2 linked regions of the Neodiprion lecontei genome follow. The protein of the gene in region 1 binds, or shares a complex with, the protein of each later gene. Links are inferred from orthologs where the notes say so. Each region holds a gene or a part of one and is shown in the gene's direction. Other genes may lie near its edges.

What was found.
Region 2: putative U5 small nuclear ribonucleoprotein 200 kDa helicase (region 1) and splicing factor 3B subunit 2 share a complex: the UniProt entries of both Homo sapiens proteins name them as parts of the minor spliceosome. The link is inferred for Neodiprion lecontei from reciprocal best matches to the Homo sapiens genes SNRNP200 and SF3B2.

The regions. Positions count from the first base shown.
Region 1 is NC_060265.1:26,202,886-26,210,038, forward strand, and holds the start of putative U5 small nuclear ribonucleoprotein 200 kDa helicase, read left to right. Parts: upstream 1-2,896; 5' UTR 2,897-3,146; coding exon 3,147-3,191; intron 3,192-3,440; coding exon 3,441-3,604; intron 3,605-3,740; coding exon 3,741-4,260; intron 4,261-4,455; coding exon 4,456-4,702; intron 4,703-4,849; coding exon 4,850-5,180; intron 5,181-5,277; coding exon 5,278-7,153. Other genes in the region: uncharacterized protein LOC107219073, read right to left, coding at 136-302, 689-821, 894-1,079, 1,323-1,630, 1,818-1,878, 1,974-2,086. UniProt on the Homo sapiens protein: Catalyzes the ATP-dependent unwinding of U4/U6 RNA duplices, an essential step in the assembly of a catalytically active spliceosome. Plays a role in pre-mRNA splicing as a core component of precatalytic, catalytic and postcatalytic spliceosomal complexes.
Region 2 is NC_060266.1:54,306-64,283, reverse strand, and holds splicing factor 3B subunit 2, read left to right. Parts: upstream 1-3,327; 5' UTR 3,328-3,744; exon of another isoform or gene 3,745-3,810; 5' UTR 3,811-3,971; coding exon 3,972-3,995; intron 3,996-4,890; coding exon 4,891-7,302; intron 7,303-7,564; coding exon 7,565-7,633; 3' UTR 7,634-8,422; downstream 8,423-9,978. Other genes in the region: synaptotagmin-14, read right to left, coding at 1-311, 556-882, 1,018-1,215, 1,438-1,499, 1,644-1,778, 2,042-2,230, 2,498-2,531; GPI ethanolamine phosphate transferase 1, read right to left, coding at 8,423-8,833, 8,998-9,424, 9,626-9,950. UniProt on the Homo sapiens protein: Component of the 17S U2 SnRNP complex of the spliceosome, a large ribonucleoprotein complex that removes introns from transcribed pre-mRNAs.

The DNA.
Region 1 (7,153 bases):
GTGGACAGGAAACTTTGACATTCAAACGATGATGTGCGAATGAGTAATATTTTTCCATGATCAGATAAAAATTTAATACATTGTTTGATTAATTACTTTGAACCTTACTTTAAGACACTTATAAGAAATACTTACGGTATTTCCTGGCAATCAACTTTATGCCTCGGCCAGTCAGCTACCTGGCAGGCTCTGTTGCAATAAAATTCCTGACAACGCTGGCAGCGGCCTGAAGCTGGTTTGGTACAGTATTGACACTTGCCGATCTGCTCAGCAATTCTATTTACGCCATACTGATAGAGCCCCTGAAAAAAAAATTTGTACATGCGTTTTTTTTATTCTGCTAATTTTGCAAAGATTATGCCATGAATGAATACACAAGCAATTAAGTCAAATAGGATTGTAAAATTTTTGTTTAAATTTGTAGCTCAATTCGATTTGACATGAGGTGCCCACAACAGGTTTTGGAAAATGTAACGAAAACTTTATCTGATGTAATTTGTTATTTTATTGACAGGTGAGGCTAAACAAGCTACACTATTCAAAAAGTAAAATTTTGCGATGAAAAGGTAGAGATAATGCATCGCAATTGAATCGTAAGCGATATTTCCTGTAATTCTCTCATATGCTAGACAGTACCCTTTTTGATAAGTCAGAATCGAATATTGAATATAGGTAAATATGAACTTACGGCTTCTCTTTTTTCGTAAACAGCTCTTATATGCTGGTGCACATTAGGATATCGTGGTGGCAGTTCATACCTGGTGTAGCCACGCCCCATGGTAACATATCTGGTCCCATCAGTGGATACTTTCAGCCGATCTCTGAGAAAGGTTGAAAAGTATTGATGACAGCAAAACTTTAGTGTAAAAAATAAAGAGCGCAACAAACCTTACCTAGTCCACAAATTATTTGTATGTAAAAAAGGTTCTGCATTTTCATATGGATTATAATAAGCTGGATCATTGGGAACTGGATATAAACAATCATCCTCCTCATAGTACACAGGATCAGAAACAGGATCACTAACAGCCCTGTGCACCAATGCAGCCAAATTCTTACCACGACCCATATTACAGGTACTGCAACGCAGTTATTAAAATCAAAATTTTAGTTTTGTTACACAGTTTTACTAACAGATTTGGCTATGTGAGATAAATTTTTCGAGTCAACAGTATTGAGGGATAAATTGTTCATTTCGATGAAAAGTTATCCATAACTATACCTATGCTCTACCCATTGAGAGTAATATACACAAGTTATAAATCATTTGTAGAAGTTTTTAACTGTCTTTCGATTAGATTATGTATCCTTAGATAACTCACGGCGGTGCAGCATGTCGTGGAATCTGTTCAGGACTGAGGTACTCCCTCGGCTGGTTCTCTGGATTGCACGTAAAAGGTACTGGTTTGGATTCTATTGTCCGGCGAGGGCCCATATTTCGATCGAGTCGTTCCTCACGTTTCTTTGCAAATGTTACGCGAAGTTCCAAAGGTTTGACGCCATGGACCTCTCTGATGGCCTTTTCTGCCTCACGGAAACTCGTATAGCTCACAAACGCCCAGCCAGCATTCGGAGGGGATATAACACTGGACGGTGTGCCGTAATTCGCGAAAAGATGGGATACACCATCCTAAACAATTGGTTATTACGTAACGCTATGACAATTTCACTCGTTTCGGCAATTCGTATTTACGTGTTAGTCAAAATGGGGTATTAATCCAAAAATTGTAAACGAATGGATACTTTGTCATGAAGAATGTAACATGCAGTTGAATGGAGTTGTGAAAAGAACATTGCACATGTTGAACTTTGCATACCTGGTCTAGCTCTGCTGGGATATTCGACACGTAGAGTTTATACTCCGTTTCCGGTCCTCCCCTGTAATTATAAGATGACATGACATGCGAATTGCTGCAGTATTAAGCCGGGATCACGACATGGATGTAATATTGCAAGTGGTTTAAATTTCAAACCTAGCATAAGGCGTCAGATTCATTCCAGGTCCGTGCTCGTACGAATTGACGTTGGCGTCGCGGTAATGAGCAGCCATCGGATCCCAATTGTCTAAATTATTAGCCCGTGCCATTGCGTCTTGACGGTCAACCGTCCTCGAAATCTGAAAGGACGCTAGCAATCTTATCGCTCAGTTAGTTACGTTAATCGGGTAGGTATATACTGTTGACCACGCACTTTCTTTGCTTGTCACGTCACAATTACGCAGGCTTCCGAATAAGCACGTGGTATCGCTATTCACTTCTATTTACACGGTGTTTTCTTTTATTCTGCACTCTTTTAGCTGGACCGTTAAAAGTATGAAAACGAGTCGAATAGGGCAGAGGATTCAAGAAATAGCGGCACGTGGTACGCTCGGAGAAGTGCGTCTAATATGCTAAGTGCAAAAAGCCGACCGCATGCATGAAATTCTCTCTGCGCATGTGCACCATTTTGAATTTACAAGCTTTATTGTGTCGGACAAGTTACATCCAAGTAGAACTAATCGAAATATGCGCTTACCTTCTAGCTCAACTTGAATCGTAATTTCGGTTTCGTCTACGCTGATTATAAATGTCTTCGAATTTATTTACTTGGTATATTTTGAATCTTAATGTGCACGAGAAAATGGAACGAAACTTTCTTGGATCGTTGACTAGAGTTTCGGTATTCTAGAAACGCAAATCCGCACACTGCAGTCTACGCCTCGACTGTTAGGTTTTCACGGGCAGGAAAATGCTGCCGCCAGCCGCAGTATTTTGTTGCCTAGTTCTTGACCAATAGGAATGCCAAGAAAATAGATAATTCGTCTTTCGCGTGCACAGGTAGCGCTAGAGTCCGTAAGACCGTGGTAGGGACTCTCGGTAACGCTCGCCTGCTTTATTGACATTTCTATTGGTCAAAAATTCGGCAGCAAAATACTGCGGTGGCAAATCTGTGCCAGTGAAATTCCAGCCACTGGCCTCCTGACTTCTCGTTGATGACAGCACCGTACAGTAAATTCATTTATGCCTTCCTTTTCCGACTACCTTGTTTCGGTCCAATACCAAATGCGTCACCTAGGTATATAGACTGGATAGTTGACGCTTGGATCTGTACGTTACTGAAGTCTGACTGAGGTATAGAGATCAGTGTGTATATTCGACGCCGTAAACATGGCGGATGCTGCGGCTCGGCAGCTTCAATACGAATATAAAGCGGTAATTATTACTATTTCATTACAAGAAATGTGCTAAAGTACGACTGTAATACAAAGAAAAAATTTTGTGCAACACTTATTGTTCCAGCGTCTAAGTTACGATTAAAATTTGAGAACTCTGCTTTCGTACGAAAAACGTTCCGTCGTATAGGTTATATTTCTAGTTGTATTAATTGGTTGCCAAAACATAACTTACTTGTTGTACGTGTTTTGGAAAAACACTTTGGTGATTTAAGACTTTTTGTTCCAGAACTCCAATCTTGTCTTACAAGCTGACGTACGGCTTATAGAAAGACGTAGCAGAGATGAGGCGACTGGAGAAGTTATGTCCCTTGTGGGCAAATTGGATGGAACCAGGATGGGCGATAGACATCAAAGGACGAAACCAGGCAAAGCAGAAGAGCGTAAAGTGAAGTGAGTGAAGATGTAAATTTGCATAGCACTATTCTCACATTCAGTAGCAAAGCAAATTACTAAAATGCATTAGGTATTAAAATGAAAAATTTAAATTGAATCATTAACGACTGTAATACGGTACAACTTTTCTCAGACGTCAAAAACGTGATGAAGCGCAATATGACTTCACTCGTATGAAGGGTGCCACTCTCTTGTCAGAGGGTGTTGATGAAATGGTAGGAATTGTATACAGACCCAAAACACAAGAGACTCGTCAGACGTACGAAGTGTTACTGAGTTTCATTCAGGAAGCATTGGGCGATCAACCACGTGATATTCTCTGTGGTGCTGCTGACGAAGTATTAGCTGTGTTGAAAAATGATAGATTAAAAGAAAAGGAGAAGAAAAAAGAAACAGAGTTGCTGCTTGGTGGTTTAGCAGAAGAGAGATTCGCCCTCTTGGTTAATCTGGGGAAAAAAATCACGGATTTTGGCAGTGATGAAAAGACTACAACAAATGAAGAGAACATTGATGAGACATATGGTATAAATGTTCAGTTCGAAGAAAGCAGCGAAGAGGATGATGAAGATGTGTACGGAGAGGTTAGGGAAAATGACGATGAAGGGGATGAAGGAGAAGAAGCAAACATTGATCGTGCAATTCACGCGGAAAACGTATGTATCTAGTCAGTTTAGTTGAAATATTCATCAAGTCTGAAGTTTTTTAGTCATATAAACTTTTAACAATTCTATGTAATTGCATTTTTATTCAACTCTTTTCTATTCATATGTACAATTTTAATATCAGATATTACAGTATAGTATCTTAATTTTTTACATTCAGTAACTGTTTCTTTACCCTTCAAACAGCTTGGTGGTGCGGAGGAAATGAAGAAGGAAAAACCACTTCATCCGTTAGATATCGATGCTTATTGGCTTCAGCGGAGATTGAGCAGAATATACGATGATGCAATGGTATCCCAAGCAAGAGCTGCTGAGGTATTAGCAGTGTTACGAGATGCGGGTGATGATCGAGATTGTGAAAATCAGCTGGTTCTCCTGTTAGGATATGATTGCTTTGATTTTATCAAACAGCTTAAAAAATATAGACACATGAGTGAGTATCAAGCAACACTCACCTTTATAATTACAGAGCTAATATTTATGAATCATTAAATAGTTGAAACAGAAAGATTACAATTTGAACATTCATTAAAATTTATCTAGTTTTTTGGAAGTTTAAATATTCTGACTATTCTTACAGTTGCCTATTGCACGATGTTGGCATCGTCTCAATCCGAATCGGAGAGACAAAAGATAAGAAATAAAATGAATGATGATTTGTCTCTGGCAAAGATCTTGCGTCAGCTAGACACGGGAAAGGGTGATGATGATGCTGAAGAAACAATGGAAGCACGTGCACAACGCAAGCGGCTGGAGGAGAACGAGGATGGAGCTGGTGGTCCTGGTGGTCAAGTTCAAGGATCGAGAAATCTGATTGATTTAGAGGATTTGATATTTGCTCAGGGAAGTCACTTTATGGCCAACAAACGTTGTCAGCTACCAGATGGAAGTTTCAGAAAACAAAGAAAAGGGTAATATATTTTTTATTTTAATGATGAACAAATTTTTGGTAGAAAATCGCTACTATTTGAAACTGAACAAGCTAACACTTCAAATCTCTCATCTCAGGTACGAAGAGGTCCATGTCCCAGCACTGAAACCAAAGCCATTCGGGGAGAATGAGAAACTGCACCAAGTTGATCAGCTTCCGAAATACGTACAGCCGGCGTTCGAGGGTTTCAAAACGTTGAACAGAATTCAGAGTCGGCTTCAAAATTCGGCGTTGGAAAGCGATGAGAATCTGTTGTTATGTGCGCCAACTGGAGCAGGTAAGACAAACGTCGCCCTGCTCTGTATGATGCGAGAAATCGGAAAACACATAAACGCCGACGGAACGATAAACGCTGACGAATTTAAGATAATATACGTTGCGCCAATGCGGTCGCTTGTACAAGAAATGGTAGGAAACTTTGGAAAGCGTTTGGCAAGTTACAATTTGATCGTGTCTGAACTCACGGGTGACCATCAGCTGACAAGAGAACAAATCGCGGCAACACAAGTAATAGTTTGCACACCTGAGAAATGGGATATAATAACTCGTAAAGGAGGCGAAAAAACTTTCACGTCTCTTGTCAGATTGGTGATTATCGACGAGATTCATTTACTCCACGATGAGCGAGGCCCAGTTCTCGAAGCGCTGGTTGCCAGAACCATAAGAAACATTGAAACAACCCAGGAAGATGTGCGGCTAGTCGGTTTATCGGCTACCCTTCCAAACTACCGAGATGTAGCTGCGTTTTTGCGGATAAAACCAGAAACCGGATTGTTTTACTTTGACAACAGCTACAGGCCAGTTGCTCTGGAGCAGCAGTATATTGGTGTGACTGAGAAAAAGGCACTGAAGAGATTCCAGGTGATGAACGAGATTGTGTACGAAAAAACGATGGAACATGCAGGAAGAAATCAAGTCCTAGTATTTGTTCACTCCAGAAAAGAAACTGGGAAAACTGCCAGGGCCATCAGAGACATGTGTCTTGAGAAAGACACGCTTGGTCAGTTCTTGCGTGAAGGATCTGCGTCGATGGAAGTACTCAGGACTGAAGCTGAGCAGGTTAAGAATCAGGAACTGAAAGACTTGCTTCCGTATGGTTTCGCTATTCACCACGCCGGAATGACCAGGGTCGATCGTACCTTGGTCGAGGATTTGTTCGCCGATCGACACATTCAAGTTTTAGTATCTACCGCAACTTTGGCATGGGGAGTCAACTTGCCAGCTCACACAGTAATTATCAAAGGCACGCAGGTTTACAACCCAGAGAAAGGTCGCTGGGTGGAATTGGGCGCGCTTGATGTCCTGCAGATGTTGGGGCGAGCTGGTCGTCCACAATATGATACTAAAGGTGAGGGAATACTGATAACGAACCATAGCGAGCTCCAATATTATCTCTCGCTTTTGAATCAGCAACTCCCTATTGAATCTCAGCTTATAAGCAAGATGTCAGACATGCTGAACGCGGAGATTGTGCTTGGAACAATTCAAAATATACGAGATGCTGTTACATGGCTCGGATACACTTATCTCTACATCAGGATGTTGCGGTGCCCACAACTCTACGCCATACCTCATGATAAACTTAAGGAAGACCCGTTGCTAGAGCTACACAGAGCGGATTTAATACATTCAGCTGCTCTGGGATTAGACAGAAGTGGATTGATTAAGTATGATAGAAAATCTGGACATTTTCAGGCGACCGAATTAGGTAGAATCGCGTCCCACTATTATTGTACGCACGATACCATGTCCACTTACAATCAACTCCTCAAGCGTACTTTGAGCGAGATTGAACTGTTCAGAGTGTTCTCATTATCAAGCGAATTCAAGAATATCAACGTCAGGGAAGAAGAAAAATTAGAGTTACAGAAACTGATGGAAAGAGTACCCATACCTATAAAGGAGAGTATTGAAGAGCCGAGCGCCAAGGTCAACGTTCTTCTTCAGGCTTAC
Region 2 (9,978 bases), on another chromosome or scaffold:
TTAATACCGGTTTTCGATCGACCCAATTCACAAGCATTGCTGTCTACCAGAGCCAGTTTAACATAAGTGTCCGGCGGTCTAGCGTCATTGCCGCCGCCCCCTCGAAAATGCGACCCCTTGATTATTTCCACAGATAATCGTCCAGTAGTCCCGTTGTAGGCGAGACCAAGTAAGATCTCCGCTATGCTTCCACCTCTCATTCCGTTACCGTAAAGCGGTACCAAGGGCGGCGTAATGTACGATCGAACAGATTGTTGCGAACCCATGGAATCGCTGCGGGTCAAGCTACCACTTGTTCCCCAATCCTGCACCTATTTACGATTGTAAAAATATTTATTTATTTTTTTCATCCTGTTTCATTTATCCAATAATTACTTGTCTGCAATGTAATGCTAAATTAGCATTTCTACTGAAGGGTTTCTTTCGAGTTTCCATCCCCTTGCCGATAGTCAGCTATATTGTACATGTACGTACGTGTGTATTTACATACATAGCCAGCTTTGTCATATCACATGAGTAATGTGGTATAAACATCAGATAAAAGTAAATTTTTACCGTGGATAAAGATTGGGGTGGGCGTTGCAAGGGTAGCCACAGTGTGGTTTCCAATTGCAGATTTATTTGGTCAAAAGAAACCCTTGCCTCTCCAAGCAATCTCTCCCTCCGTATACGCCCAGTCCACCAGTACACCCTCAGCCTGACACCCATCCCATTCACGTCTTCAGGATTAACACGATGTAGCAGAAAGCTTTCCATGTATTGCGGCGTAGTCCCTTGACGGACTCTGGTTTTGCGTCTCTGTTTCTTAGATGGCAACAAAACCAAACGAACCTGACTACCACCTATCATATTCGGATAATTCCGTCCCTGCAGCACTTGAACCTGCAACAAACAATGCCACATTACCTTTAAACCAATATGATCCGATGAGGCAATCTGACTTTATATATCTATTTTCTGATTATTGGATAATTGTCAGCGCCGTTACTAATGAGTGTCTTTATATGGCGAACAGACCGTCATTTCACGCATCGGCGCGTCGTATATCAACGCCACCTCCAAGCTGTGAATTTCCTCCGCTTGAATCGGTACAGGAGATTCCTTGTGATGATTCAAACATTGCTGCCGGTCTGCTTTATTTTCCTCTTCCCTTTTATCTTTAATGTCCATTTCTTCGGTTCCAATCGCATTGGGGGTACCCACTTCAACTACACACTAAGAAATTTGATTATAATTCACAATATGTCGGTTAATGACTCATTCTCACCGATATTACGGTGTGTAAATTTCTGTGCATGATTTCCAACCTTGTTCCAATATTTTGACGATGTGCTAGAAAAAAATGGAAGTGCGAGACAAATTCCGACGCATGATTCTCGCGGAACTGCTTTACCCAATGTGGTGTAGGATATAATGTCAACCGAATATTGGGCATACCTGTTGCCGATCCAGAAGTGATTTCTCTTCTGTACCACTGCAGCTCAATACCTTTCCAACATCTGCGTTATTTTTTAAGGAATGAATATCGTGTCAAATATAATAAAAAGTGACTGATTCAATTTCTGTGTACACTTTGTACATGCAAAGGATGAACGGGTTTTTATAGAAACAGCAATTATTAGACAAGTTAGAACTTGACTTGCCTGTTGCCCCGGGACCATCTGCTGTTATGGCAAGGCTGTCACGTGAGAGATGAGATCCAAAATTAGGCTGACGCAATGCTTCCTCCTCAGATTCTGAACTTGTCTCCACATCCGAATGGAAATCCAATGTTTTGCCTGGGTCAAAATTGAGTTGCAGTACAGGTGTGGAAGTAATACTATTTTAATTTCAGTAAGAACTTTTGAAATCTCGATCATTCTATTGCCTATTCAATGATGGGAATAGTTTTTCCTTTCTGTAATACTTTGCATTGGTAATACATTTTTTTTATTTAGTGCTCAACAATCAGACTCAATAATTGAGACAATCGGAGATGTGCGCAGCGCAAGAGAAAATCATAGAAAATCCATTTCAATGGTTACTAAATTGTTTGAGTTACCAAGATTCGTGCTGAGTTGGGATGACGAGCTGTTATTAGACTGGCAAAAAGGTACGCACACGCCACCAAAGTAAGTAGCAGGTGGGGAAGATGTGAAACACCATTTCCGTGACAAGTAAAGGAAGAGAACCAGCAGGAGAGCCCCGAATCCTGCGACAGCACCGAGAAACGCCGCTGTCTCGACCGATACTGCAAAGGCAATGAGAATTACAGTTGTAATGCATGTATAGCTGATTACATTGCTTGTGTGACGGTAAAACTGAAAGTTACATATCTGCGTGTGCATGTTACATTATAATTGAGCATGCTGATATCAGTCCATTCACTAGGGTAAATTTTTGAAACAGTAACAAGGACCAAGAATTGTAGGTAGTTGGTTGGGTTAGCGAGCGTTCCAGGAAATGTGGAAACGACTGTGCACGAATCTGGTGAAAAGCAAGACAACAGTGGACTCACCCGGCAGAAAATGGTCCGACCCAGCAAGAATCATACTCGCTCAATTCGTAATTCTATAATATGCTTTATACATTTATAAGGTAAAAAAATCTTCTGTAGGACAGAATTCATGGCTCGAGTAGCTAAGTCGTCAGGGTAGCGCTGTCGCGAAATACGGAAAACTTTTTATTTACAAACAACAGCGGTCCCGCCCCCTTAGCGACCCTGTGCGCCGGGCAACGCACACGATCACTAAATACTGATATTTATTACCATTGCACACCGCATACCTACCCTGTAAAAACGGACGCCGCAAGCGCGTGCGGTCCACCTGACGCAAATGTCAGGTTAGAGCTTACTGCGATGTAAAATAGGTTTTGTCTTGATTATTACTTTATTCGTTACTCTATACTATGCAGGGCAAGAAACAATGCGATTTCCGTTTTTATGTACTTTTAAACGATCGTATTCAACAGTTTCCTACTTGATTGATTTGAATTTTGAATTGACAGTTTTGAGCAATCTCAAAGCTACGGTTTCAGCCCGGTAGGGCGGCGCAGCGGTTTTAACTTAACTGTTGCGACCAGTTTGTCACAAGGTGAGTGTAATCTTGTGATTTGATTGGTGCCTCGTGAGCCCGCAGATTGGACCGTATGCGTATGTGACGTCGTTAGCCACTCCCCGATAATTCTAGAATTTAGTTACTAGATCCGATCGCAGAATGTAAGCACAGCTAGATGCAGTCATGGTGCCGTCTCACGTAGGTACGTACGGATCGCCGGAATCCCATATGAATGAACGGAACGGGGTAGATTTAAATTTGTGCTATTCAGCTTCATTTGTCTGTTTAGATCATGATCTGTAGACGCAGGTCTGGAAACTCCGGCACTTTTTTGGAGTGGGGGGTGTGTAGTCTTTGGTGAAGGAAGATTTATTCAGTCCCTGTTATGACCACCAGAGTCGTTGCGATCTAGAAGCTTTGGACACCCAACACGTTGACTGAGCAATATATCATCAGTCAACGCCTAACATGACGAATTCATCTCTGCAACCCTCCGTGTATCGTGCCCTTGTGTCAGCAGCAGTGTTACCGACGCTACAGCACGACTTCAAGAATTGGCTTACATCGTAATCAGTGCAGAGGTGTAGATGAGGCAATTTTTTGAAGATTACTCGGCAAACGAGGAAGGCATTGGCACATGTCATCGGACTGGCGAATAGCCGTTCAGGAAAGAAGAAGAAGAAGAACGAAGAAGGCATAGGATTTCGTATGTAGAGGTTAGGAGTGGTAGGCATACAAATGACAGCGTGAATAGTTGGTGTTACTTTACTAGGATAGGACTGGTTTTGCGCTGAATTTTTGGTTGAATTTTACGAGAAATACTGCGAAACTGACCGTAATTCAGAAGCAGAGAGGATCGACGAATGTAGGTGGCGACTTTGCTGCGGGCAGAGGTGTACATAGTACGTTTAAGGGTACACATACACGTATAAAATGGATGGAGCACTTGGGAATGAGGTTAGTAATACTTATGAAATTAACTCAATAATAACTTTCCATCCACCATACATCGCTTCTTACAGTAATGTCGTAATGTCTTTATATGAAGTGGTGAAAAATTCTATTGTCAAGTCTGTCAATAATAACGTATTATCTACCGTTGACCGAAGGTTGCTGATATAGCCAGCCAGATAAATCGGATTTTGATGCTCGGTGCGACTAAGTGAGAGTTTTCGAGGGAAGGTTGGGTATAGAAATTTCCTGTCGATAATAGCTTGATCAATATTGTAAAACCCCTAAGTGAGACAATAAATGTAGGCTAGTAATGGCATTACCTCTGTGCCCAAGGTTACTGTTTGCTTGCTCCAAATCAATACCTGTGACTGGCTGTATTTAGCAATCTTCAATCAACGGAAGAGACGTAGCATTCTACTTGTTATCCTATACCTTGGTTCGCACCTCGTGAAGAGATGTAGACACTGACTGTTTCAACATACTGCATTTCCGTAAATCTAGACTGACTTGAAACTGCTGCTAGTAGCTAGGCCAAACCAGTGACTAAAGCCTACAGTTATGAGTTCAATCATAGATTGGTTAAGAAACCAGTTTCAGCGCTCCGCAACGACATGTTATGTCCCTGCACTGTGCTTCTTCTTTCTTCCCCGCTCTCGCACTTTCAGAGGGCTTCTGTTCGAGGTCTTTCCACCTTGTCTTTTGACTTCAATGTTGAAGACTTTCTCGTTACCACTCAATCTTGATTAGGGTTAATTGGCAAAAGATCAGCCACAGAAGTATAATTTACATGATATTAAAATCGGTCTATCTACTTGTGTACTTTGTCTTTTTTTTTGTACAAAATTCCTGGTTTTGTGTTTGTGAGACATTAAATCAAGAGTGAAACTATATATTTCAGGCACAGGGACAGCAAATAATACTGGATCCTCGTCAGTTAAGGCAAATGGAACAGCAAGAGATTCAGAAACAGCTAGCAAGCGTTCCGTCTTCTGTCCATCATTCACACCCGACTATACCGAAATTGACTACCATGGGAATGCCGTCGGTTGCCGTTGAAATACCACAAGCGCCGTTGCCCAGTCTTCTCAATTTAAAGATTGCACCTCCGATCGAGATGCAGCTCTCTGGAACTCCAGAGGAGCATGGTAATAAGGCCGAAGAGGTGCGTGATGGCGACAATGAGGACCTCTGCAAAGAAGGAAGAAATGGTGTATCCGACATAGTGAGCACGACCAAGCTTCCTGTTGCTTTGGAACAGGCGCTTGCATTGAAAACTGAGAGAGCCAAGGAGCTGGGCGGTGATCTGAACGACGACCACGATAACAGCGCTCACGGCCATGCAATGTTTCAAACATCGCATCCATCTAACCCAGCTTCTGACTTACGCGACAACTTACTACCAGACTCGATTCTCTTGGAGGACTTACTTCCGGAACCAGACGCACCACGGGTTCGACAGGATGTGAGGGGAACCAAGAACCGCAAAAAGAAAAAGAAACGGAAGAAGAAGAGCAGCGATGAGAAGAATGAGGATGTAAACGAGACCAGGACGCCTGATGTCAAGGTCAGGAACATTGACGACCCGCAGATTGAGTACATCCAAGAGATCCCGAGTATCAATGACTTGGAACCAATGTATCGTCAATTTGCCAGAGTTTTTGACGCGTTCAAGCTGACGGAACCTGAAGTTCGCGGTGGCACGGGCATAGGCCAAAATGCAACAAGTGATAAGATTGAACCCATTGGCCAGTATCCACCCTTGACAAACACATTGGCAGCGGGTCCACTTAGCAAAATCCCGCCTATTGACGACTTTGACGACGACCCATCCCAGCAGAATCAGCATAATCAGCAGGGTGGAGGCCAGGGCACCGGAGAAGGAGGCACACCGCGTCTTTCTAAACGCAAACTGAAGAGGCTAACGCGCCTGAGTGTGGCTGAACTGAAGCAACTCGTCGGGCGTCCAGATGTTGTAGAGATGCACGACGTCACAGCGCGGGACCCCAAACTTTTGGTGCAGCTGAAAGCTCATCGAAATACGGTACCTGTGCCAAGACACTGGTGCTTCAAGCGCAAGTACCTACAGGGTAAACGAGGCATCGAAAAGCCTCCTTTCGATTTGCCTGATTTTATCAAGCGTACCGGTATTACGGAAATGCGAGCGAGCCTTCAGGAACGGGATGACACACGCACCTTAAAGGCGAAAATGCGAGAACGGGCAAGGCCGAAACTTGGCAAAATAGACATTGACTACCAGAAACTTCATGACGCATTTTTCAAGTGGCAGACAAAGCCCCGTATGACTATACACGGCGATCTCTACTACGAAGGTAAGGAATTCGAAACGAGACTGAAGGAAAAGAAGCCCGGTGAATTATCCGACGAGTTACGAACAGCTCTGGGAATGCCGGTTGGTCCGAACTGTCATAAGGTACCGCCACCTTGGTTGATCGCTATGCAACGTTATGGCCCTCCGCCGAGTTATCCAAACCTCAAGATTCCTGGTCTGAATGCGCCTATACCCGAGGGATGCGCATTCGGTTATCACGCTGGCGGATGGGGTAAGCCACCCGTCGACGAGACGGGCCGCCCGTTGTACGGAGACGTATTCGGTGTTGCCAGGGCGCCAGGGGTCGATGCGATGGACGAAGAAGTTGATCGCGGTATGTGGGGTGAGCCGGAATCAGAGTCGTCGGGTGAGGACGAAGACGAGGACGACGCCGAGGAGGGTAATGAGGGTGACGGGATTGAAGGAAAAGAGGGCGATGCCGGAGATGCAAGTGGCTTGGTTACACCCGGTGCCGAAGGCTTAGTCACACCGAGCGGTATTGCGTCAATTCCGGCGGGGTTAGAAACACCCGAAACCATTGAGCTCAGAAAGAAGAAGATTGAGAGCGAAATGGAGGGCGGGGACACGCCTGCGCTATACCAAGTTTTGCAGGAGCGTCGCGCAGAGGGACTTGGGGCAAGCATGATGGGAAGTACCCATGTGTACGATATGACTGGTGCAGTCGGAGGTCAGGCACCCCCCTCCGTCATCGCAGCTGCTCGTAGATCTGGGGCCGTTGGAACAAGCGCATCGGGTGCCGGCGGAGGTGGTCTAGGAACAGCGGGTGTCGGCGGTAGTACATCTGCCGAAGGTAAAGGTGACAGGGACGCAGCTGTTGAATTGGCGCTTGATCCAAGCGAGCTGGACCTTGATTCAGAGGCAATGGCTTCACGTTACGAAGAGACAATGAGATCGCGCCAGGCTCACCTGCGACGCGAGGACTTGTCCGATATGCTTCAAGATCATGTACAAAGGCAAAAGGTGATATTCTGAATTTTTAGTAGAAATTATTGTAAATCACAAATTATTGTCATTTTACTGTACCGGGAGATTATCTATTCGATCTATTACGATAATTTGCGTTGCCAGTGCTGTCCTTCCAGTTATAAGCCAATTGCACGTGTTGTGTAACCAACACAAATAAGCGTACCCTTTTAAAGATAATCGCCAGGTATGCTCAGTCGCGGTGCATACGTTACTTTCAAGTGACTCAAAGCTCACACCTAATACGTTATTGTTGCAGAGCAAGAGAAAACGTCAGCAGAATCAGGAGACCAAAGCATCCAAGAAGTACAAGGAATTCAAATTCTAATTGAAACCTGTCTCGTCAACGTATCCCCTAATCATATTCCAAAATTGTTCATGTGTCTACCGTATGTATGTCATTCAAGTGATTCAATACTTTCACATTATATACGAACTCTATCTGAATTATAAAATGAATGCGATCATTTATATCACTTTGCCCACCATTACGTGGGCTACATTATAATTGGCCAAAACTGTATGCATACACCCGGTATGTCCCTGTACGCCATTCGGCTTGTGCAGGGCAAGAGAGGCAATAGATTTGTGAAAGTGATTGGGCGCCTGCAGCCTGGCTTAGGATGTTCAATAGAAATCCGCGCGAATGCATAAAAAACAAGGAAAACTGCAGAATACCTTACCCAGATGTAGCTGGGCCGAGTTCAAACCTCAGCTTGCTGACTCAGCCCCCGACTGACAATTGTTAAGAGTTTTCGCGCAGGTCCTCATAGTCGTGCTGGGGATTTGAACTCAATTCCTCCCGATTCACAGTCTCACACACCTGTGCGCGACACTACTCCGGCCGGTAGTACATACATACATCATACGTAATTTTATACAGTTGTGTAAAATCCCCTTTTTCACCACGAAGAATTACTGAATTTCATGCAACAACAACAGTGCAGGGGTTTAAGACCGATGTGGTTCGAGCTTGTGCGTAATTTAAAACTAGCTAAAAAATAACGCAGGTTGTACTGAAATACGTATCTCTAATATTATATTATCAATACAATAATACTTTGGTTGGTGCACTTGTATGTACTGCATACTGTACTGTAACATGACATTATGAATCCTATACATGTTGCTTAATCTGAGAATGGTCGATTTTCCACACACTGTACGTCACCAGGAGACGCGAAATATGATAAAGAAGTAGCATCAGACAAGGTAACGTCATTGCGATTACAAATCTGCTAATCGCACTACCAATGTCCATCCAGCTACCTCGGGGTGTAACCGTATGCATGACTTGCAGTGTTAGACAATCGGCAAGGAGGATTGTCGTCATGAAAAGGTTTGACGGTGCAAGGGTCCTGATACCACACCCAACAACCAATAGTGGAATGCTGGTCTTCAGGACGATCAGAGTACACATGGTGAATGGCGAGAATACTGTAAGAAAATGTCTTGTCCATGTTGGGTCGAACGAACTAATGCTTGCTATGTTTCCAGTACCAAAGAACCCCAGTAGCACGTACAGCATCTGAGTCCGAATGAATAATAACATAACATGTAAGAAAAAAGAGTATCTAAGGTTCCGACATATCTTGCATGCACAATCTGATAGGTGCAGATAGTGCTTGAGCTGAATATAAGATTACCAATGATGTGTACAAAGCTTGAAGCAACTTTAAATTTTACTCGCACCTCATACAGCAGGTAAAAGGATACAAAAAATCCAGCCACCAAAAAGTCTTTCACGCTGATGGTTTCCTTCTTCTTGAATCCCCACATTTTACAACGTTTGTCAGTAGTCATAGGCCAACAAAGAAGATGACCCGTCAACGCGATAAGGAAGAGTGGCTCATACGATACGGAGAGTAAGGCAAGGGTTGGTAAAAATGCCAAACTTACTCCAAATATTCTACCCTTGACTTCAACCGAATAAGCGCATATGCACAACGGCGTAGAGATTAATATTAGCCAGGACAAGAGGCTTCGACCATCCACGAGTCCCGAAGATATTAAGGCTGTTGTTGTAAGTCTTACACCTTCCACGGCCTTCAGAGAAATATTCATGTGACGATCGTCGGCGGTAATCACTGTCATTCCTCCAATAACCAAGGCCAGCAAGCTGTTGAAGAAATACTTGCATTACTTTCGTGACACATGGTCACGTGCGTCATATACCATAAGTCGGTACGTAATGTAATACTTGAAACATTACATTACCACTTAATGCTCAAAGTGGATAAGGTAAAATTCTTCCTCATCTTTCTATGACTATCAGACAGGACAAAGATCAAGCAAAGGGAATTGTCTGACAGATTCTTACACGAGATGTGTCTGTGTGTCGGGGCCTACGGTCGGTAGTAGCGGAAAGGCGGCCAAAACGATTGTTGTCCAGGGAAGAAAACGATCCGCGTCCTTGAAGAGAACACCCTGTATCACGCACATACACAGAGTCGCTGCTCCGAATATCCACCTCATCGTTAAAGCAAAGGACATAATCGACGTCAGAGAAATCGTACAACCTATCCAATACCATCCGCCACGGAACGATGGACAAGGGTTAGCGCTGAAACTTCGAGTGGCAAGCCATGAAGAAAGCAGTGCCAATAATGCATACCCTTGCAAACGCCATCCACTTGTACCTGAAACTTTCGATTATTTAACAAACTTGTCCGC